Linked DNA regions of Stegostoma tigrinum. The protein of the gene in region 3 purifies or fractionates together with the protein of the main gene of each other region. This does not show direct contact. Links are inferred from orthologs where the notes say so. Each region holds a gene or a part of one and is shown on either strand. Other genes may lie near its edges. The genes, in order: plin2, sqlea and marchf6.

Region 1 (7,959 bases), on a different chromosome or scaffold from region 3:
GGGCCTGTTCCCACGCTGTAGGGAATCTAATCTTCGATAGAAGCTATTTATCAGCAGTATTAAGCTTAATTTCATGCATATGATTCTCAAAAGTGTCTATCTATAGCATTGTTGATAACTGAAAATCTGCAATTTTTAAAATCTGTAGAATAAATGGTAACACTCAAAAAAGGCTTATTTTGTGCCAGAGTTGAATAAACATACTGCATTCAACAAGCTATTCCAAGAAATCTATTAGCCTGAGATAACATGGTGTGAAGCTGGATGAATACAGCAAGCCAAGAAGCATCAGAGGAGCAGGAAAGCTAGACGTTTCAGGCCAGGACCCTTCTTCAGTAAATTTTCCTGCTCCTCTCATGCTGCCTGGCCTGCTGTGTTCATTCAGCTTCACACCATGTTATCTCAAATTCTCCAGCATCGGCAACTACCACTATCTCTAACAATTTATTAGCCTGGTTTATTTATACATCTGAACTAGGTGAAAGGTAAAATAGAAGTGCAATTCATCAAGTCGCCACTCCACAAATAGGCAAAAGGGCAGGAGCTTAAAGCATCTTCCTGTAGAGAAGTGGTTCGATACTGAAACTGATGGCATTTGTTGACACTTTCTGACTCATGCCAAATACAAATATTTAGTGAACACTACAACCTGACCACACCCACAGCAAGATAACAAAGTGTGGAGCTGGATGAACACAGCAGGCCAAGCAGCATCTCAGGAGCACAAAAGCTGACGTTTCGGGCCTAGACCCTTCATCAGGGAGGGGGATGGGGAGAGGGAACTGGAATAAATAGGGAGAGAGGGGGAGGCGGTCCGAAGATGGAGAGAATACAAGATAGGTAGACCTACACAGGCCCCAAACCGCAGCTCTTCCTCCGTTACATTGATGACTGTATCGGCGCCACCTCTTGCTCCCCAGAGGAGCTCAAACAGCTCACCCCACTTCACCAACACCTTCCACCCCAACCTCAAGTTCACCTGGGCCATCTCAAACACATCCCTCACCTTCCTGGACCTCTCAGTCAACCAGCTAGAAATGATGTCCATTTCAAGCCCACCGACTCCCACAGCTACATAGAATACACCTCCTCCCACCCACCCTCCTGCAAAAATTCCATCCCCTATTCCCAACTCCTCTGCCTCCGCCGCATCTGCTCCCAGGATGAGGCATTTCAATCCCGCACATCCCAGATGTCCACATTCTTCAAGGACCGCAACTTACCCCCCGCAGTGGTCGAGAATGCCGTTGACCGCGTCTCCCACAACACATCCCTCACACCCCGCCCCCGCCACAACCGCCCCCAGAGGATCCCCCTCATTCTCATATACCACCCCACCAACCTCCAGATACAATGCATCATCCTCCGACACTTCCGCCATCTACTATCCGAGCCCACCATCCAAGCCATTTTTCCATCCCGACCCTTATTTGCCTTCCGGAGAGACCACTCTCTCTCTGACTCCCTTTTCCGCTCCACACTCCCCTCCAACCCCACCACACCCGGCACCTTCCCCTGCAACCGCAGGAAGTGCTACACTTGCCCCCGCACCTCCTCCCTCACCCCTATCCCAGGCCCCAAGATGACCTTCCATATCAAGCAGATGTTCACCTGCACATCTGCCAATGTGGTATATTGTATCCATTGTACCCGGTGTGGCTTCCTCTACATTGGGGTAACCAAGCGGAGGCTTGGGGACCACTTTGCAGAACACCTTCGCGCGGTTCGCAAGAAACAACTGCCCCTCCTAGTCGCGAACCATTTTAACTCCCCCTCCCATTCCTCAGACGACATGTCCATCATGGGCCTCTGGCAGTGCCACAATGATGCCACCCGAAGGTTGCAAGAACAGCAACTCATATTCCGCTTGGGAACCCTGCAGCCCAATGGTATCAATGTGGACTTCACAAGCTTCAAAATCTCCCCTACCCCCACCGCATCCTGAAACCAGCCCAGTTCTTCCCCTCGCCCACTGCATCCCAAAACCAGCCCAGCCTGTCTCCGCTTCCCTAACCTGTTCTTCCTCTCACCCAACCCTTCCTCCCACGTCAAGCTGCACCTCCATTTCCCACCTACCACCTCATCCCGCCTCCTTGACCTGTCCGTATTCCCTGGACTGACCTATCCCCTCCCCACCTATCTTCTTGTCTCTCCATCTTCGGTCCACCACCCCCTCTCTCCCTATTTATTCCAGTTCCCTCTCCCCATCCCCCTCTCTGATGAAGGGTCTAGGCCCGAAACGTCAGCTTTTGTGCTCCTGAGATGCTGCTTGGCCTGCTGTGTTCATCCAGCCGCACATTTTATTATCTTGGATTCTCCAGCATCTGCTGTTCCCATTATCACTCACACCCACAGCAATACGCAATTATAAGTTATAGCTTGCATATGTCTTGTTTATTCAGTAATAGTTTCATTCCTTCTGCTTGAAATCGATCTTAGTGAGATTATAATAGACTTCAAAAGGATCAAGACTAAGCGGGCAAAGGAGAACATTCTTACTTTGTGGTTCCAATTTCTGAAGTATTGGTGTAGCACTGGTGATGGCTACAGATGAAACGACAGTTACACCTTTCTCTGCAACTTCACACAAAGACTTCAGATAGGGGTGATTTTCCTTCGTGCTGCCATACACAGATGTCATCATATCATAGGCAGTGCTGAGAAACGGCAAGTTAGTCACCCGAACAACCACGTTCTAACGAAAAAACAAAAACTAGAGTGAATATAGTTTTTTTTTCCCCCACCAATAATCTGCATTTGAGACTTTGTATTTACATGCCAGTTCAGTTCCTGTCACTTAAGGGGAAAGAGAGCTCTGTTAGTGGCGTGGAAAAGAAAAGCAACAAAATCACACTCTTTCCCCACACTTTCAGATCACCTTCAGCCTATCCCAAGTCCTCACAGGGAAGGGAGTTCCAGGCATTCCCGAGAGAAGTCAGCAGACAGGGATCAACCGGATTGAGACGTTACTCGAGTTCGAATCTACTGAGCAGTTAGGGAACGTTAGTGAAAACCAACACATTAGATCAGCAGGTTCAGTTACGGTTAGTCAGCATTAGCAAATACAGAGTTGCTTTCCAGGTCTAAACACACTTCCAACCGGGAACAGGAGAGAAAAAGTGTACCTGCGGTACTTCCACTATTGAGGCCATGGCTTCCGCTCTGCATTAAAAAAAATGAAATCGAGTTTCAGAACAAAAGAGCTTCGCGTGAATCCGAGCTGCTTTGCCCATCCCTTCGCCCCGATTCAGAGCTCACCGTTCACACAATTATTAACAACCGAGAATCGCAGCCACGTCAGGGCTTAATCAGGACAGAAATTACCAATGTTTCATGGGGCGTAACAGCAAGTGAACAAGCGTCTTCCTGCCAGTATTTATTCGGAAACAACACACGCACTCCCCCCACCCAACCCAGTTATACCGATTAGCCCCCGACCCGCTCCCATTACACCCACCTCCTGCTCCACTTGCGCCGGTTCAAAAGGGTTTGCTCCCTCCCGGAAAGCCTACCCAATGACGTCAGACCATGCAAATTCCAGCCGCAGCACGTCTATCCGGAGCGCATTTGGGGGGGAAAAAAAGCTGCTGAGTTCATTTTCGTCTATATTTCCACTGCCTCTTTCAGCAGACAACTTTTGCCAATGTTTAAGTGCGGAATGTTTCCCATGTTGAAGTTATCTTCTGGCAGCCCCCAAAAGATGTGTAAGGCGGTGAGGGACAAATTCATGTCTATGAACCTAAAAGAACGAGACAAAGCTCGTGTAGCCTTTGCTATGCCTGCATGGCTCCCCTCCGGGTTCTCCAGTTACCTCCTACAGCCGTGCAAAATTGCCAGTGTCCAGGGACTCGTAAGAGTAGGCATGGGGACTGCAGGGATAGTCTAGAGGGTGGGTCTGAGTGGAATGTTCTTCAGAGGTGTGGTATTAATGGGCTGAATGGCCTGCTTCCACACCGTAGGGATTCAATGAGGAACTTCTGATGGTGCTTATATTTCTGCCTGCGCAATAACAGGTAAGCAATGTCCATCATTGAGTCATAAAGCTATACAGTGTGGAAAATAGTCCTTTTGGTCCAACTCGTCCATGCCAACCAGATATCCAAAATTAATCTAGTTCTGTTTGCCAATATTTGGCCCATATCCCTCTAAACACTTCCTATTTGTATACCCATCTTAGATGCCTTTTAAATGTTGTAATTATACCAGCCTGAACCACTTCCTCTGCCAGTTCATTCCATGCACTCACCTGCTGCCCGAAGATATTTTAGAGCCAAATATGTCATATTGAATTGTAGTTACTGATACAATGTAGGAAAGGCTGTTTGAAATGTTCTGCATTAGCAGCGTGTTCATTAAATGAAGACATACACATTTTTTTCCCAGGCATTTGTGGGATGTGGACATCGCTGGCTGGCCAGCCAGCATTTATTGCCCATCCCTACCTGCACTTGAGAAGGTGCTGGTGAACTGCCTTCTTGAACAGCTGCAGTCCACCTGCTGTGCCTTGACTCACAATGCCATTAGGGAGGAAATTCCAGGATTTTGACCCAGCAACAGTGAAGGAACAGCGATATATTTCCAAGTCAGGGTGGTGAGTGGCTTGAGGGAAACTTGAAGGTCGTGGTGTTCCCATATATCTGCTGCCCTTGTCCTCATCATGAAAATGAAATCCACATTGCTGCTCGCTATGTCATGTTGGATTCTGGGTACACTACATTGACAGCTAATGGTTGGAGTTATCGAATAAACTAATTTTGGTGAATAAACTAATTTCCTAGCAGTCGAGGCTATGATATCTTAAGGTCCATCACGGTTCCATTTACAAACTTAATGATTCATTGTGTTGTGGATACAGCTTTTAAAGCTACCAAGAAACATAATTTACTGTACATGTAATTAAATGAAATCAGATAACAGTTTTTACACATTTTTAGGTTCTAGAAAAGACTATCAGAAGTAAAACTGTGAGCTAATAAATAACTGCACAATTTTAATCTTTGTACAGAGATTAACTTTTAGTGTACTTGACTATCACAATGTTTGTTGGAAATGGTGCAAAATATTTGAGGATATGAACAAAGTTGTCCATCAATAAACTTGTGTAAGTATGTCAAATGTCAAACATTTGACAACTTGCCGTTTTATACTTGATAGGGCAGGTACTTGACGATCACAATGTTTGTTGGAAATGGTGCAATGTATTTGAGGATGTGAACAAAGTTGTCCATCAATAAACTTGTGTAAGTATGTCAAATGTCAAACATTTGACAACTTGCCGTTTTATACTTGATAGGGGAGGGGAGTCTCTGTTTCAAATGGAGGAAAATCAGTCAGTTTTCTTTGTAAATATGCTTTCTTGAGCACCTAACCAACTGTCCCAGAATATTTAAGTATTTGTTGTACCCAGCTGATCCAGTGCCCCTGTAAAACAAAACCATGTTGCCATTCAAGGGGATCCCTAGTAATCCTGTGAATTTCTGCTGCTGATTGAACAAGCTGTCAAAGGCCCATCCTCACCGCATTCCTGATCTCTTGAACTTTGGCAGAAACAGAGGTAGATTTCAGTGGGGACTCAACACTGGTGTAACTGGTGGGAACTCAAGTACGGGGACAACATATTAATACTTCAAATCAAACTGAAAAATTGTCAGAGTAAAAGTGCTGTTGGAATATGAATCATGTCTCATTTATTGTATAAGTTAATAGTTCTGAAAACATTAATGTTGATGTTGCATAGCTCTACCCAATTTGATAATGTGACACAGTCTTTGGATGGAGAAACAGTAGTCTTGTGTGGGGCCCTGAGGAAGTCTGATACGACAGACCTGGCTCCTGATGGTTGTGATTGTGCCAGGGTGCTTAATGTTAATTGTATTTATTTTTATCATGCAATTAAATATATTTTGAAATGCAAGGCATGTGTCTCTTCTAATTAATACTCTCTAGTGGTTCATTTGCAATCTTTATAATTGGACAGACCCTTGGTGTCCATATAGAAAGGAAGATTGGTGTCAGCGAATAACACCAACCATCAGCTGCCAATGTAGTGTACCCAGAATCCGTTATGACATAGTGAGCAGCAATGTAGATTCCATTTTTCTGGTGAGCAAAGAAGTGACTTTACCACTTCAAGAACATCACTGCTTTAGGAAAACACTGAGCCATTCAGCAGCCAGACTGTGATAATTGACCAATAGAAACAGTCATGTGAGGTGCAGCAGGACAAATGTAGTTTTCTTGGAAGAAAACACTCACTTCATAATCTGGTAAGGGCCACAGGCAAAATGGCATGGGCTGAGAAAAAGAAGCTAGCCCACAATGGAACTTCAGAGAAGGAGGTTGGTCAGGGAGTAATTGAAGATTCCATCAATAAATTTAGAGATACCAAAGGGAAAGGAAGGAAATGGTTACAAACTTTGCACAGAAATTAGGCAGGAGTGTAAAACAGTTCTCATCTTTCACTATGAGCATGGCTAAATCCTGAGCAGGCTCCATGTCACACAGATACAAAGAACAGGAAAAATAATTTACATTGGGCTGTAATATTGTAAAGGCCATAGAATTTGACAATGGTGGTACAATGGAAGATTTCAAAAATTTGAAGGGTCTGATAGATGAAAGTTAGAAGAATTTTAATACTTTAATGAAATTGGGACATTTGTAATGTAAACAATGATTTCGATGTGAAGACTTGTTAAGACTGCAGTCAAAGAAGTTTACTTCAAAACATCATGCTTTGTGTTTGGGCCATGAAAAGCAAGAAATCATCCAATTTACCCAGGAAGAGAAAAGAAAAAAAGACCTATCTACTAAACATAGGAAAATGTTCTCGAAGATGGGAATGACAATTTTGATCATTAAAATAGGCAGGAATATTCTCAGCAAGCAGTATAACGAGATAACACAATACAGTGTTGTTACTTAACAGTATTTACAGATTTATTGGAAACAATTCATGTAACTTTAACACAGATTAAAAGTGTGAAGCCAACTTTAAGACAATATAATGTAAGCAACATTGATTTATTGCAAGAAAACAAGTTTGAAGACAACAGACGCTTACAAAATGATTCAGTGTAAGAGATGGACCAAACAGAACACTTAGAAGAATATCTTGGAAAGAACATCTTTTAAAATACAGAATTGCTTCAAAATTAAAATGTTATTCTGAAGCTAAACAAGTTAATTCATGCAGCTGGCATTACAAATTGAAATAATATTGAGGCAGAGACAGATACTTGTGACAAAGTTTTAAAAGCTCTGATAATTACTTAAATCTGACAGTTCATAAAACTCTTGAACAGGCTAGATTTAACAGGACAGTGCACTTACAGAGGAATTGGTAGATAATTTCATTAACAACCTCTAAAGATTAGATGAAAGCTGTGACTTTGAAATAAGAGATAAGTAGATATTGAATTTTTTTTGGATTATTAATGAACCTTTGTCAGATTTCTTACAGTTCATGGAAGATTTTACTTTAGAGAAAGCTATTAAAATTATGCTAACTAGAATCCAGGGAAGACTCAGGGATTGATTCTGAGACGAGAACAATGACATATCACAGTAGAGCAACTGGACTTATTCAATTCTTAATGTATGGATATGCTAAAGGGGCAAGTGACTCACCACCATAGACTGTAAGCCAAACAGCAGATATCAAGTGCCTCTGTGAGTGTTGAGGTTAAACAAAGCATCACAGTTACAGGCATAGCAAAAGAATGCAATATTGGTAATTCTGAAACTCATTTCCCGAAGATCTGTAGAAGAAATCTTGGTGATGCCGTAAGCTAAATGCTTGGCCTTAATTAGTGTAGTCAGGCCACTCGAACAAAAATAAAAGCCACAATCAATGATGTAACTTCATTCAAAACAATAAGCAGGCATTCCTCGAGGAAATTACCGCTGCAAATAAATTTAATGATTCAACTGACTCAGGTTGCACAGAACCTATGTCAA
Region 2 (7,847 bases), on a different chromosome or scaffold from region 3:
GATGATATGTTCAACCAACACCCCTATCTGAGTTCCCAAGTGTAAGGGATCCCATGATACAAATTTGAAGAAGACAGGGGAGCTCTCCCTAGAGTCCTTAATAATATTCGTCCCTCAACTAACATCTTTAAGATTTATCTGATTGTTATTAGTAATATTTGATCATTTAACTTTTTACTACCTGTACCAGTTTGTTACGCAAAACATGTCAACTTGTTTCTTACATTACAACAGTGGTCTCACTTCAAAAGAGCTTTACTGACTGTACAGTATTTTAGAACATCTTGAAGTCAGGAAAGATGTTATATGAATGCACTTTTTAAAATCAGAGTCAATATTTCAAGAAGTGGATGAGAGAAATTTAGAAAGTGGTTTTCAAGATCAAAACTTAACATTAACAACACAACATATATTTTGAATAGTTTTAAATTCCAGATGTTATAATAAAAGAGCTAGGATTTGTATAGCTCAAGTTAAACACTGCACTGCAGCCTAGCCTTTTCACAGATTTTAGCTAGAATGTGAATAGAAATGCCTCATTGCATACCCTGCTGCTAATTCACATCACCATTTAAGAAGCATTCGGAACTGTGCTCTACTCCATTTTGAATATACTGAAATGAAAACTAAAATGTGTAATTATTACATTTTACACAATGATGTGATTGTATAATTCCCATTAGATGTACAAGGCATAATATGACAAAATGCTTTAGTGATGCCAATCACTCTCAAAAATGATCCTACCAAACAGATTTCAACCCACGAGCGTTATCTAAATTTTAACCTTTTTCAAATAGATCATTCACGTGTCCATTATTTTAAAATCTTAAACATAATCTCCATATTATTGAATATCATTAAAAATCTTTGTTAGCAGTTTTGAATTAGGAAAAGATTCTAACTGCAATCCCTCATCCTTTCAGTGATGGTCCGCTTCTTCGTCCTTACTCATGGGATTATAGTATGGTTGCCATACAGCCCAATGTGGCCCTGCAAGCTTTTTGTAAGAGCAGTTCACCCTGTCCCACACATTCTTTTTTCCATACCCCTGTATGTTAGTTTCTTCAGCTGATCATTTGACCTTCGCCTGAAAATCCTTCTAGCAGCTTTGTCACTGTTAAAAATATCTAAACGCACCTCTTTGATCAACCTTTCTGATGATCCAAAGAATCCTAACCTTCCTGCATGAGCATGTGTTTCCCTTCATTTATTTATTTACGCAGCGCTTCAGGGCAAATTTTATAGCTTTAACAAGAACGAGTTGTTAATCTTTAATCTATTTTGTAATACAATGTTACAATTTCAACATAAATATTCAATTATTGTATCAAATGTTGGATAAAAATGTCTGTTTATCTTGGCAACACTGGCTTGTCCTCACTGTACACCGAACTGTCGATGCAGACATCATCTCAGTTACTATTCAATTGTTGCCTCTGAATGACATTTAATAATTAACAAGGCAGCAGTACATTTGAATTGTTATTTTTGAGTTTATGTGCCAGTTTTGTTATGGATAAAGAAAACCAATATTCTTATCATTAAAAACGTCTTATAGCATAGTCAAGTTTAAACATTTCTATCTTTAGATCTTTAGGTTGACTCAAAATATTTCAAAATATCTAAAGAAATAGTCAAAGCCTCATTCGCCATTTACTATAGTTAATGCGTGGTGAACACGATTTTGCTTAATGATTTCATATTCTAAACGTTTTTTTTTCTATTTTTAAACCGTTCTTCGAATTTTGCCAGTATACTACAATTCTTTCAAGTCATTTCCTTCTTTAAACAAAACAGCCAAAGATTGGATAACGAACTGATTTTACAACTAGTAGAGAAATACTAATGTGGAAATATGCCACCAAATTCATAATTATTGAATCAATAGAAAGTTTCAAAACAGATTTGAAATGTTTTACTGTACCGGCGTTCTGTTCAGCAATTTGTTATTAAATTAGAAACTGCAATTGGTTTGGGCAGATCTTACAGCATATTTAGCAATCGTCAATACATTGTCACAAAAAAAATCCACCATATGAATAATAATAAGGCATGTTTCTTTTTGCTAGTTATAACAATGACCACTGGTCATCCTGTACCTACCTTGCCTTGCTCGGTATTGATCGAGTCTGTGGGCCCGCTGAAGAGGGAGCTTGCCAGAGGCAGGGCTGAGAGAAGCTGGGAGATGAACCCCAGGTTCGAAGCTTGCTTTCTGCCTTTCCCTTGTCCGTATCTGTATCGATAGGACAGGATCAACCCTAGGGAGAAAAAGACCAGGAATGCCCCGAGCACCTCCTTGTTAGCGTAGCTCACGCTTAGTAAGTCATCGCATTTCTTATAGACATAAGTAAACGTCGCAATTCCCAGGAAAGTCCACATTTTTTAATATAGAAGTTCTCTCCTCAAATTTAATTGAACTGCACTAATGTTCCATTAGAGTCCAAACAATTTTTTTTAATCTCAAAGCAACCCTAGAACATAAATACAAAATTAAAGTATGATTTGGTACACTCCTTCACGGAAAGGTTCAAAAGACGTTCACATTGATTTTTCTCTTAATTATCCCGTAAATGATCTTCACTTCATCCTCGGCTGATTGCTGTGGAAGGAAAAGAGAAACGTAATTCAAATAGGCAGAGAAATACAATTTTTCCACAGTCCAACAAATACAATACACCTTTTTTTGTTAAATTCAAGTCGGGGGTTATAATCTCAGATTTATTATTTGATGATTTTTTAAAATAAATCCATACTTCGGTTATCCCTTATAAGATGAATTCAAGAGGCCAATATGATGATAATAAAAAAATTATGGAGCTCAGAAAGCGGCGAGTCGGCCCATCAGTTTTCAGTATCTGACAGTAGAAAAGCATTTTCAGTAACCTTACTGTTATGTTTGCAGCATTTTTTTGTTTTGTTTGTTGTTTTTGTTCCCGGGTAATGACTCTTTGCTTCCCGGAGTGAGGAGATGGCAGTGTGCTAGGAAATAGTCCAAGACAGGACTCCGTTCTGTATCTCCTTGCCTGTCTCTCCTGATGCCTGGCGGTAGCCGGGATGTAACAAGATGTGAATGAAGCTGCGGAGTAACAACGTGGTCCCGCCCCCTCAGTCCTGCTGCCTGTCGAGGCTCTGCACCAATCAAGACCCGGCGTGCCGGTGAGCTGAGCTCACGCTATCCGGGGACTGTCCAATGAGGGCCAGTCCCAGGGAGGGCCCGCCTTCTCCCGTCTCCTAGCATGATGTGATGTCACAAAGAGGGAGCCGCAACAATAGCATCCTTCTGTCACGCGTCAATTCAATCAGGCTCCCCTCTCCATAGCGTTGTGTGACAGTTTGTCCCCAAAGCAACAGCAATCACTGAGTGAGCCATTACACTCCCCTTTTTGAGCCTGCTCTGCCTTTCAATCTCACCTTGCTTCATCTTACTGTGGGCTCAGCTCTTCCACATTCCATGGAGATCGTGAGGACTGTGGATGCTGGATGTCGGAGTCGATAACGTGGAGCCGACCTGTGCAGCAGGTCAGACAGCATCAGAGGAACAGATTCTAATGAAGAGTCCCGAACCGAAAAGCCAACTTTCCTGCCCCTCTGTCGCTGTCTGACCTGCTGTGCTCTTCCTCCACATTCCTGTCTGCCTCCTGTTCCTTCACACCATGCCTCACTCCACCAACCCCATAACCCTTTATCTGTAATAAACATTTGTTTAACTCTTCTGAAGAAGGGTCGAGGCCCGAAAAGTCGGCCTTCCTGTTCCTCTGATGCTGCTTGGCCTGCTGTGTTCATCCAGCTCTACACCTTATCTCAGATTCTCCAGCATCGGCAGTTTCCACTATCTCTGACTTAATAAGGACTGTAAAGTTGAATACTTTATACTTATCTCTATTTTGCCTTTATATTCTATGTTTTGGTTTATTTTTCTGTGTTTTAAGGTGGTGTTTTTTACTGTATTTTGTAGCAATATAAATGTGACAATAAATAAAGTCAAAATAAATGAGTTCCACAGGCTGACAATCCCCTAAGGAGTGGCACAGTAGCTCAGTGATCAGAACTGCACTTGGGTGAGATTCTGTGTGAAGTTTGCATATGGTGTGTTTGGGTCTCCTCCAAGTGTTCCAGTTTCCATCCACAGTCCGAAGATGTGCAGGTTGGGTGGATTGGTCATGCTAAATATCCCCATAGTGTCAAGGGATGGTCACGCCACATGGGTTAACCACGGTAATGTGGGTTATGGGGGTAGGGTGGGGTGCTGGATCTGGCTGGGATGCTCTTCAGAGTGTTGGTACAGACTCAATGTCCTTTTTCCCATGTGGGTATTCTAAATTCCAAAAGAAACTCACCATCGTAAGTGGAAGACCTGATTCTAGGCTCGTCCACAAGGGGAAAGTCCTCACCACATAGACGCATTCAACGCACTAATGAAGTATTCCCCTTTATCAACAAACCCTTGCAATGAAAACAACAAGTGCTTTTGCCACACTTTGAAGTCACGTTCTCTATTCACCCACATAAGTCTACAAGATATCTGACCAGAAGTGAGACATGCAGCCCATCAAGTCTGTTCTGCCATTCTATGAAATAATCAGAGCATTGGGAAACAATCAAAAAGTAATCGTGAGATTACAGACCAACATGTTCCAGTAAAAGCGAAGGGTTGGATACACAGGTGCAGAGAACCCAGATGTCAAGAGATGTATTGGATTGGATTAGAGAGAAAGGAATCTTATGTTAGATACCAAAGGCTCAAAATAGGCCCTTGAGAAGTACAGAAAGTGTAAGTTGTTGCTTAAAACAGAGGAATCAGGGGAGTGAAGAGGCTATTGCAAAAGCATTCATGGGTATCATAAGGAAGGGTGAGAGATGGTGCAGGGGAGATTCATCATGATGTTGTCTGGGCTGGAGTGTTTCAACTGTGAAGAGAGACAAGATAGGCTGAGGTTATTTCCCAGAGAAAGAAAATTGAGGTGGTGGATGTGATTGAAATGCACATAGACAGGACAAATGCTTCATCTTAGTCGGGAGGTCAATCACCAGGGAGCACAGCTTTAAAATAAGGAACAATAGGTTTGGAAGGAATTTGAAGAAAATGTTTTTCACCCGATAGGTAGTAGGTATTTATAAATTCATTGCTGAAAGAATAGAAGAGTCAAAAACTATGAACACATTTACAAATTATTTAGATGAACACTTGAAATGCCACAGCATACAAGACTGTAGGCCAAGCACTCGAAAATGGGATTAGAATAGATGCATTAAAAAAAATCTGGAGAAACTCGGCAGGTCCAGGAGCATCCGTGAAAAGAAAACAGAATTAATGTTTCATTAACAGTTAATCTACCTGAAGAAGCGTCACTAGATATGAAACATTAACTCTGTTTTCTCTATTCTAATCCCATTTTTGACTTGGCCTATAGTCTTATATGCTATGACTCTACCATTGTTTCAGCAATGAATTACAGGTACCTACTATCATAGGGTGAAAAACATTTTCCTCAAATTCCATTTAAACCTCTGGCTCCTTATTTTTGTTTATTTCAGATCTCCAACATCCATTGTACTTTGTTTATTTTAGAAGAGATACGAGTGATGCAGACACATTAGGCCAAACAGCTTCTGTCCCTGCAGTTTGACGCTTTCTCTCTAACTCCCTTACTTCCTGAATATCAACAGGAAGTTAATATTGAGGCCAATGTGTCAGTCACTTGTCCCCGCAATGTGTCAGTCACTTGTCCCCGCAATGTGTGCAATGTAGGAATGCCATCCTCTGCGCTTTAAACAATGCGTGAGCCCCTTACCTCCACACTGTAATTCTTATCCTCCCCTTTGTACTTTTCCACCTTCCCACCACATTTAGTGGGGTGGGTTTTATGACTAGACCATAAATATTCAGCTAACAAAGTGTGGAGCTGGATGAACACAGCAGGCCAAGTAGCATCTTAGGAGCACAAAAGCTGACGTTTTGGGTCTAGACCCTTCATCAGAGAGGGGCATGGGGAGAGGGTTCTGGAATAAATAGGGAGAGAGGGGGAGGCGGACTGAAGATGGAGAGAAGATAGGTGGAGAGGTAGGGAGGGGATAGGTCAGTCCAGGGAGGATGGACATGTCAAGGGGGCGGGATGAGGTTGGTAGGTGGGAAATGGAGGTGTGGCTTGAGGTGGGAAGAGGGGATAGGTGAGAGGAAGAACAGGTTAGGGAGGCGGGGATGAGATGGGCTGGTTTTGGGATGCAGTGGGAGGAGGGGAGATTTTGAAGCTGGTGAAATCCACATTGATACTATTGGTCTGCAGGGTTCCCAAGCAGAATATGAGTTGCTGTTCCTGCAACCTATGAGTGGCATTATTATGGCACTGCAGGAGGCCCAGGATGGACATGTCGTCTAAGGAATGGGAGGGGGAGTTAAAATGGTTCCCAACTGGGCGGTGCAGTTGTTTATTGCGAACCAAGCGTGGGTGTTCTGCAAAGCGGTCCCCAAGCCTCTGCTTGGTTTCCCCAATGTAGAGGTAGCCACACCGGGTACAGCGGATGCAATATACCACATTGGCGGATGTGCAGGTGAACATCTGTTTGATGTGGAAAGTCATCTTGGGGCCTGGGATGGGGGTGAGGGAGGAGGTGTGGGGGCAAGTGTAGCATTTCCTGCGGTTGCAGGGGAAAATGCCAGGTGGAGGTGGTTGAGAACGCCCTCGACTGTGTCACCCGCATTTCCCGCAACTCATCCCTCACATCCCTCCTTTGCAATAACCGGCCAAAGAGAATCCCCCTAGTCCTCACATACCACCCCACCAACCTCCGGGTACAATGCATCATCCTCCGACACTTCCGCCATCTACAATCCGATCCCACTACAAAAGACATTTTTCCACTCCCACCCTTGTCTGCCTTCTGGAGAGACCACTCTCTGTGCGACTCCCTTGTCCGCTCCACACACCCCTCCAACCCCACCACACACGGCACTTTCCCCTGCAACCGCAGGAAGTGTTACACTTGCCCCCACATCTCCTCCCTCACCCCCATCCCAGGCCCCAAGATGACTTTCCATATTAAGCAGATGTTCACCTGCACATCTGCCAATGTGGTATACTGCATCCACTGTACCCATTGTGGCTTCCTCTACATTGGGGAAACCAAGCGGAGGTTTGGGGACCGCTTTGCAGAACACCTACGCTCGGTTCGCAATAAACAACTGCACCTCCCAGTTACAAACCATTGTAACTCCCTCTCCCATTCTATAGACGACATGTCCATCCTGGGCCTCCTGCAGTGCCATAATGATGCCACCCGAAGTTTGCAGGAACAGCAACTCATATTCCGCTTGGGAACCCTGCAGACCAATAGTATCAATGTGGATTTCACCAGCTTCAAAATCTCCCCTCCTCCCACTGCATCTCAAAACCAGCTCGTCCCCGCCTCCCTAACCTGTTCTTCCTCTCACCTGTCCCCTCCTCCCACCTCAAGCCGCACCTCCATTTTCTACCTACTAACCTCATCCCTCCCCCTTGACCTGTCTGTCCTCCACAGACTGACCTATCCCCTCCCAACCTCCCCACCCATACTCTCCTCTCCACCTATCTTCTCCTCTATCCATCTACGGTCCGCCTCCCCCTCTCTCCCTATTTATTTCAGAATCCTCTCCCCATCCCCCTTTTCTGATGAAGGGTCAAGGCTCAAAACGTCAGCTTTTGTGCTTCTAAGATGCTGCTTGGCCTGCTGTGTCCCTTCTGTTCTTATCCTGTTCATAAGTGGGAACTGATTCTCCATACCCACACTGTCCAGACAACTCATCATTTTGAAAACTTGTATCAGATTTCCTCTTTGCCTTCTCGTGTCTGTGAAAACAGTCCCAATTT
Region 3 (7,705 bases):
TTTCTGATTTTCCTGTATTTCAGACCCAGGTTGACAGAAAGACATGGACCAGGTTTCTGTACATAACAAAAATTACTATTTATTTTAATAAATATACAATAACTACAGGAATACAGTTACAAATCATCAGCATATAACTTTATTGGTTAAATCGCTAACCTCCTAATGAACTGCCCAGATATACATAGGAAAACAATATGGGTATTTAAGGTACAGGAAGAAAGCAGAATCTGCAGAACAAAAACTGCTGAGATGGTTCTTGTACTGATTAGGATGCTGTTTTTTCAGTTTTCCTTCTCTGATGCTTTAATAGCCTTCAGGAGGCATTGGGTGGCTGGTTCACAGTGTTATAAGAACTTCTATTAGACAAGATGAATTTAAAGATATTGGTATTAGTTCAATAAAATGCCAAAGAAATTAATGAAACTGAAAGTTACTAACTCCCAGGGCACGAATATCAACATCACAGGTTAATTGTAGATTAAAATCTATAAAGTGTGAATGTGAGAAAGTCCTGGTGGATTGAAGGGTTAACAATGTAATATCAATATTTAAAAATGGAGGGAGGGTGAAATCCAAGAAGTACTTACCAGTTATCCTTACATTAATATTACGGAAAATGCTAGATTCTGTTCTAAAGGATTGATCTCAGGCCAATTAAAAGTACCAAAGGAATTATGTAAAGCCAACATGGATTTATGAAAGAGAAGTTGTGTTTTGCAAACCTGCTGGAGTTTTTTGAGAATATAACTAGTGGAAAACATTAGGATGAACCAGTGGATGTGCCGTATTTTGATTTTCATGAAGCTTACCTCCTATGTTCACATCCAAAAACAGAAGTTATTGGAAAAGCTCAGCATGTCTGACAGCATCTATAAAGAAAAAATCAGAGTTAACGTTTCAGGTTCAGTGATCCTTCCTTAGAACGGAGGAAGTTCTGAGGGAGGGTCACGGGGCCTGAAATGTTTACTCTGATTTTTCCTTCACAGATGCTACCAGACCTACTGAGTTTCTCCAACAACTTCTGTTTGTGTACCTGATTTACAGCATCTGGATGTCTTTCAGTTTTCATTATTAAATGGTGAATGATTGGGAAACATTGTCCAAAAACACCTGAGTATTCTTGCGTTTAGTCTTTGAAGCCAAGCATGCAGGGGCAGCAAGCAACTGGGAAGACAAGTGATACATTGGCCTACATTGTCAAAAGGTTTGAGTACAGAAGTAATTCTAGCTACAGTCGTACTGGGCCTTGGTGAAACCACACCTCGAGTATTGTGTGTAGTTCTGCTTTTCTTACTTAAAAAAAAGATAGATTTGCCATAGAGGGAGTGCAGCAAATTTTTATCAGACTGATTCCTACAATGGCAGGTATGAGGATATATTTTCTAATAAGGCTGTTCAGAGATGCTATGACAGGCTTGTGGAGCAGACAGAACTTGAATTCAGGCTGCCTGGCCCAAAGGTAGGGGCTAGTTTCAATGTATGTGGAGATCTTGGGCCGATTGAGCCTGTACTCAATGGAGTCTAAAAGAATGAGTGAATTGCAATGAAACAAAAGAATTGCCAGGCTGGTTAGACTAGACGCAAAGTGTTTCCCCATTGTGTTTTCTCTGTTTGGAGTCAGGGGTTGTGGGGTGGGAATGTCGGGAGGGTGGGAGTAGTCACAGTCTCAGGATACACAGTAGTCCACTTCAGACTGAGATGGAAAGAATTTTCTTCACTCAGAGGCCGTGGAATTCTCTTCAATAGAAAGCTGTGGAAGCCAGGTCCCGGCATATTTTTAAGAAATAAATAGATTTCTAGAGACCAAAAGTGTCATGGAGTCTGGTGGAAGAAGAGCGGGAGTAGGGTATTGAAATAGAGGATAATCAATGATCACATTGAATAGCAGAATGATCTCTCTGGGCTGAATAGCCTGTTCCTGTTCCTATTCTCTAGGTTTCTATGATTATATGCTCAGAACTGAATTAGTTAACGTTGGAGAGTAGTAAGTGACTTAAAGTGTTACAGTTGTATAGAATGGGAACGGACCCTTTGGTCCAACTCATCCATGCCAACTAGGTATCCTAAATTAATCTACTCCTGTTTGTTAGCATTTGGGCCATATCCCTCTAAACCCTTCCTATTCAAACACCCATTCAGATGCCATTTAAATGTTGTAATCGTACCAGCCTCCACCATCTCCTCTGGCAGCTCATTCCATACATGCATCACCTTCTGCCTGAAAAAGTTGCCCCTCAGGTCCCTTTAAAATCTTTCCCCTCACACCTTAAACCTATGCCTTCTAGTTTTGGACTCCCTACCCTGGGAAAAAGACCTCGACTATTCACCCTATCTATGCCCCTCATGATTTTATGATCCTCTATAAAGTCACCCCTCAGCCTTTGACACCCCAGGGAAAACTTCCCCATCCTACTTAGATTCTCCCTCCAGTTCAAACACTTCGACCCTGACAACTTCTTTGTAAATCTTTTCTGAACCCTTTCAAGTTTAACAACTTCCCACCTATAGCAGGGAGACCAGAACTGAACATCATATTTTAAAAATGGGCTAACCAGTATCCTGTACAGCCTCAAAATGACCTCCCAACTCGTGTACTCATTGCACTGATCAATAAAGTCAAGAATACTAAATGCTTTCTTCACTACTCTGTCTACCTGTAACTCCACATGAAAGGAACTATTAACTTACCACCCCCCCCCCCCACCCCCCACCAACCAAGGTCTCTTTGTTTGGCAACACTGCCCAGGACCTTACCATTAAATGTACAAGTCCTGCCATTACTTGTCCTACCAAAACTCAGCACCTCACATTGACCTAAATTAAACTTCATCTGCCACTTCTGGGCCTATTTGCCCATCTGACCAAGGTCCCATTGTACCCTGAAGTAACCTTCTTCACCGTCAGTCACACTACCAATTTTGGTGTCATCTGCAAACTTACTGACCATACCTCGTATATTCACATCCAAATAATTTATATAAGTGACAAAAAGCAGTGGTCCTAGCATCGATCCTTGCAGCATATTGTTAGCTGCAGGGATCCAGTCTGAAAAGCAACTTAAATAGACTGCATGATAACAAAGTGTGGAGCTGGATGAACACAGCAGGCCCAGCAGCATCTCAGGAGCACAAAAGCTGACGTTTCGGATCTAGACCCTTCATCATTAAATAGACTGCACCTAAGCTTTAAATTACAGGAAAACACAGCAACATCAAATTACAGATTTAGATTACTCTAATATACAAACTCCTAGGAATATATAAAATATAGTTGTAAGTCCTAATTATGTCTCAGAAAATCTGTACTGGACACTTTTTACAAAGACTTTACATGAAAGTTCACTATATAATTTATCTTGTAATACTCTGTACCTTATCACCAATTGTTTCAGGAGAACTGAAAAGCCGGCCCTGAGTCCACAATTAATACTTAATCCCATTAAAAAAAATAACAAAGTCATGAATGTCGCCCATTTCGCTGCATGAATATATCACAGAATATGGATGTGCTTCTACGAAACTGTCTAAGGAGATGACACTGCAAAAATGTCCAAATGTAACATAAAAAGCTATGAAGCAACCGGTGTTACGATCTAATTAGCAGATACTGTGCCAATTACTTTGAAACCGGCGAGCAGAACAAACGAAAAATATTGATGCAGTTTAAGGCGCTCAAATATTTTCTCAGATATTATCTAAATTATGTATATTTATTTAACGAGCTCGGGAAGACATAAATTGTTTCCAACAGACTTTTAACTGATCTAAGTTTAAACTGCTGAAGTATTGAAAGTTTCAAAGAAGAGAAAAAAGAAATAATTTGCAATTTGCTGTAGTGAGGCCCTGAGAAGTAAATGAGTAGGAGCTGTAGACGTGGTTTTCTGTTGTTTTATGAATTCAAGATTTGAGTTAATTTGCAGAAATTCTCTGCAGTGCCTCAACTAAGACTCTTCCACTATTACAGATGAAATGGTGAGAAAACGGAAGACAAAAATGGAAAGCCGTTCTTGTTATTTCTTTTAAAGTGTTTCTCAATTCAAAATGAAACTTCATTAGAGCGACCTTACGGACTGATTTCGGTCACAGATTTACTGATGTAAAACACATCCAAGACAAAAAAAATTGTGGCCACCTAAACGCTCATCGTAAAATGCTTAATTTTAAATTTAAAAGATTAATCATCGTGCATCATAAACGCTGAACTTGCGAATTTGATGAACAGTAAGGTTGGAGTGGAAAACAAGGTGCAGGCACCGCTGGGATTCGAACCCAGGATCTCCTGTTTACTAGACAGGCGCTTTAACCAACTAAGCCACGGCGCCACGATAGCCTTTTGACTCCGAGGCTACAAGACACTGGCAGTTCCGTGTAACTACTTGAAATAGAGTAATAGATTAATGATGTGTTTTCATTCCAAGCATTTACTATACTAGTGTTAAGTTTATCGGCCTTTTGCACAGTTTCCATGTGGAAAAGGTGAGTATAATACTGTCTTTCATGTCATAATGTTTCCGAGCGCCCCCCCAGGCTCTCTGACGTGAAAAGAGCAGATTCCAAAGGAGCACGCGCAGATCCGGGCCCGGTACCCATGGAATCCGGTGTAGCAATTGTGCTGTAGTCAGGTGACCAGTCCCTGTCGGGAACTTGCCTGCGATGTCCTTTCATTCACAGAACCTGTCTCACGCACCTTTTCCTGTCGAGCAACGTCCTAGTTGACTTGGTCTCGTTGCGCAGTGTTGGGACTTCCTGATGCCTTGAATCAACATCCCCGAGATTCCTTGCACCTGTTTAAGGAAAAGAAAACACAATATAAAAAATAAAGACATTTTTAAACAAGATGTTGGAAACGCTCAGCTGGTCAGGTATGTGTATGAATTTGGCTTTCTTGCAATCACCATTTTTGATTAGAATCCAAAACATTAGCTTGCCTTTACTGGAGTCCACTGTCATGTCTTCTATTTCTAACGTCGAATAATTGCCGTTGACCTTCATTCATATGTGACGATATTGTGTCTTTAATTCCCAATAATACAGCAAATTGTAAAGAAATAACAGAGATATTGTTTAAAAATAAATGCATCTTTCTTAATATGTAGTTTAAAGAGAAAATTAGCGGTTAATGAGATCACCAACATTAAATACGCATTTGACTTTGCCCAGTTCTAGGAAGGACTCTTCTAAAAACTTAAGGCATTTTTGAATCTCTTCACCTCAATCTCATGATGTCAGCCTATCAGTGTGCTTTATACATCCTAAGGATGGTTTGCTGATAAGCTTCCAAATCAAACATCATTTAGAGTTCTTACGAACTTTTTAGTATCAGTTACAAAACCCCATATCCGTCAGATTTTGCATCAACCTGTAATAATTTGCTCTTCACGTATTCTCTGGGTATTGTGTTTTATTTCCTGTTTAAATGTTTTTAACATGACTTTTGTGTTGCACCATTAGAATTTCTGTTATCTGGCCCTTTCCTCATGTTCTCTACCTGATTGCTTTTTACAATATTTTTATGAAGTGCTTGCTTAGTATCTGGAATATGCTACCTGAGTATAATGTCAAGGCAGATTCAATTGTGACTTTAAATTGGAGAGTAAAATGAGTTGCAAGAGTTAAATATTTGTAAGACTTTTGGGGAAAAGACAGGGACTTGGTCTGGCTGAGTTGCTGTTCCAGGAGTTCCCATTGCAGAATTTTATGCCAAACATCTTCAGCAGAAATATCAATGACATTTCCTCCATCATAGGGTCAGCAAGGGAGATGTTTGTTGATGGTTCCACAACATTGCTTCAATTATTGTTTCACAGATAATGAAGTGAGACGTGGATATCACTTACCACACAATTGCCAAACAGTCATTTCTGGTAAGTTAGAATGTAACCATCTCCCCTTGACATTCATTGCCACCCCCATCAATAATACTGCACCATCCATGCCTTGGGAGTTACCATTAACCAGAGACTGAATTGGACCAATCATGTAAATACTTTAGCTATAAAACAGGTGAGAAGATGGGAATTCAGCAGTGAATAATTAACATCCTGATTCTTCAAAGTCAATCCAACATATACAAGAGATAAATGATAAGTGTAATAAAATACACCTGGTTGAGTGCAGTTGCCACAACACTGAAAAACCTGTACACCACTTGGATCAAATTTGTCCATGTGATTAGTCTATATCGACAGCCTAAAATATTCCCTTCAACACTGGTACACAGCAACAGCAGTGTCTATCATCTACAAGACACATACAAAAACAGTGCCTTCCAAACCCATGGCCTCTCCATCCCAAAGGAATAAAACAATAGATGCATGGGTCAAAATCCTGCATTGTATATACCTAAAAAAAGAGAGTGAATTAGAATTGGAGAATAAATGCTGACATTGCCAGTGTCCACATTACATGACAAAATTTCTAAATGCTTTGAGAATTATGTTTTGTTTTCAGTTACTTCTGTTTTTCACTTCATTTGGTTGTCCTAATATCATTTTGTCCAGCTGTTTGGCAGTGATTTTCAAACTTTTTTGAGTGGTGGATTGCTGTCGAGCTCTGATACACATCATGACACCTGGGTCCAATTCCCCCTATCTCTCTCTCTCCTTTCTATATTCTAACAGCATGCGTCACCATGTGAAGAAAAGGTGTTCTTTCATTCCAGAACATGTTTTATATGTATGGTAAGACCAATGTGTCAGATGTGAAAACACATAAAAACACATGGTATGTTGAAACTGGACATAAAGATATAGGTTATGCCTTGCTATCCCTGGAACCATAGTTGTCCAGTAATCCAGCAACAAATGAAGAAGGGTAATGAACAGATAGAAATACTGTAATCTCTAGCAGTATACAGGGGCTCCCTGGCAGCTTGCGAATGATATCATCCAAATCAGGCTACTTCTCACAGGTTGTTTAATTAAAGAAGGAAGCCTCCACAGTTTCTGATGTGATCTTGGGATCTTCTGGACTAATAATTGCTTAGTAGTATATCATTTAAACATTAACAATTGACATGAAATCAAAACTTTGCATCTTGCACTCATCAGGACTAAAATGCAATGAAATTCCATTTGGAATGTGTATAACAATTTATATAGCATGAGAAGAGGATGCTGACTAGCTGTTAGCATGGGAAAGCTGCATGAAACGTTCACTGTCACGGTTAGTTAATTGGTTAAATTCAACCTAGGTAAGTCAATTCAGATTGGTCAGATTGTAGCCTTAGGGGCACAGGAGGGATCGACTATCACCAAAGCTAACTGTCCCCATTCAAAATTGTGCAATATATGGAACATGTTCATGTGTAGACAAAGAACAATACCCTGTGTATGGAAAAACATATCTTCTGATTCGTGCAAATGAATCACAGAATCTGACTGAAACTTGTTTCCGAGTTAAGATTAATTTTTAGCAGGTGTTAGGACTTTTTATTCATATTGTTATGCATTACATCCAATAGCAGAATCACACCTAATGTTGGACACCATGTTCAGAGTTTTGCAAGCATGGACTGGTTGACCACAGTTGACAGTGCAGCCCACTGCACTGCAAAAGGCCAAGGCACATACAGTTTGATATAATCCACTAGTTTTTGCAAAGGCCTACATGCCTGGCAATGCACTGTCATAAACTCATTCCATATTAATCATTTAGGTGGAACGCAGAATGTCTTTTTGGTTTCCTGTAGGCAGAGAGTACCA

The links.
Region 1: the proteins of marchf6 (region 3) and plin2 purify together in Homo sapiens (affinity purification with western blotting; 3 studies listed by BioGRID). This does not show direct contact. The link is inferred for Stegostoma tigrinum from reciprocal best matches to the Homo sapiens genes MARCHF6 and PLIN2.
Region 2: the proteins of marchf6 (region 3) and sqlea purify together in Homo sapiens (affinity purification with western blotting; 4 studies listed by BioGRID and IntAct, with this or other methods). This does not show direct contact. The link is inferred for Stegostoma tigrinum from reciprocal best matches to the Homo sapiens genes MARCHF6 and SQLE.

The regions. Positions count from the first base shown.
Region 1 is NC_081356.1:22,690,048-22,698,006, reverse strand, and holds the start of plin2 (perilipin-2), read right to left. Parts: upstream 3,101-7,959; 5' UTR 2,924-3,100; coding exon 2,879-2,923; intron 2,696-2,878; coding exon 2,500-2,695; intron 1-2,499. Other genes in the region: uncharacterized protein LOC132207334, read left to right, coding at 6,285-6,338. UniProt on the Homo sapiens protein: Structural component of lipid droplets, which is required for the formation and maintenance of lipid storage droplets.
Region 2 is NC_081358.1:47,559,550-47,567,396, forward strand, and holds the start of sqlea (squalene monooxygenase), read right to left. Parts: upstream 3,075-7,847; 5' UTR 2,887-3,074; intron 2,603-2,886; 5' UTR 2,383-2,602; coding exon 2,107-2,382; intron 1-2,106. UniProt on the Homo sapiens protein: Catalyzes the stereospecific oxidation of squalene to (S)-2,3-epoxysqualene, and is considered to be a rate-limiting enzyme in steroid biosynthesis.
Region 3 is NC_081355.1:23,726,950-23,734,654, forward strand, and holds the start of marchf6 (E3 ubiquitin-protein ligase MARCH6), read left to right. Parts: upstream 1-4,629; 5' UTR 4,630-4,839; coding exon 4,840-4,864; intron 4,865-7,705. UniProt on the Homo sapiens protein: Endoplasmic reticulum membrane-associated E3 ubiquitin ligase that plays a critical role in mitigating endoplasmic reticulum stress, the regulation of cholesterol and lipid homeostasis, and ferroptosis.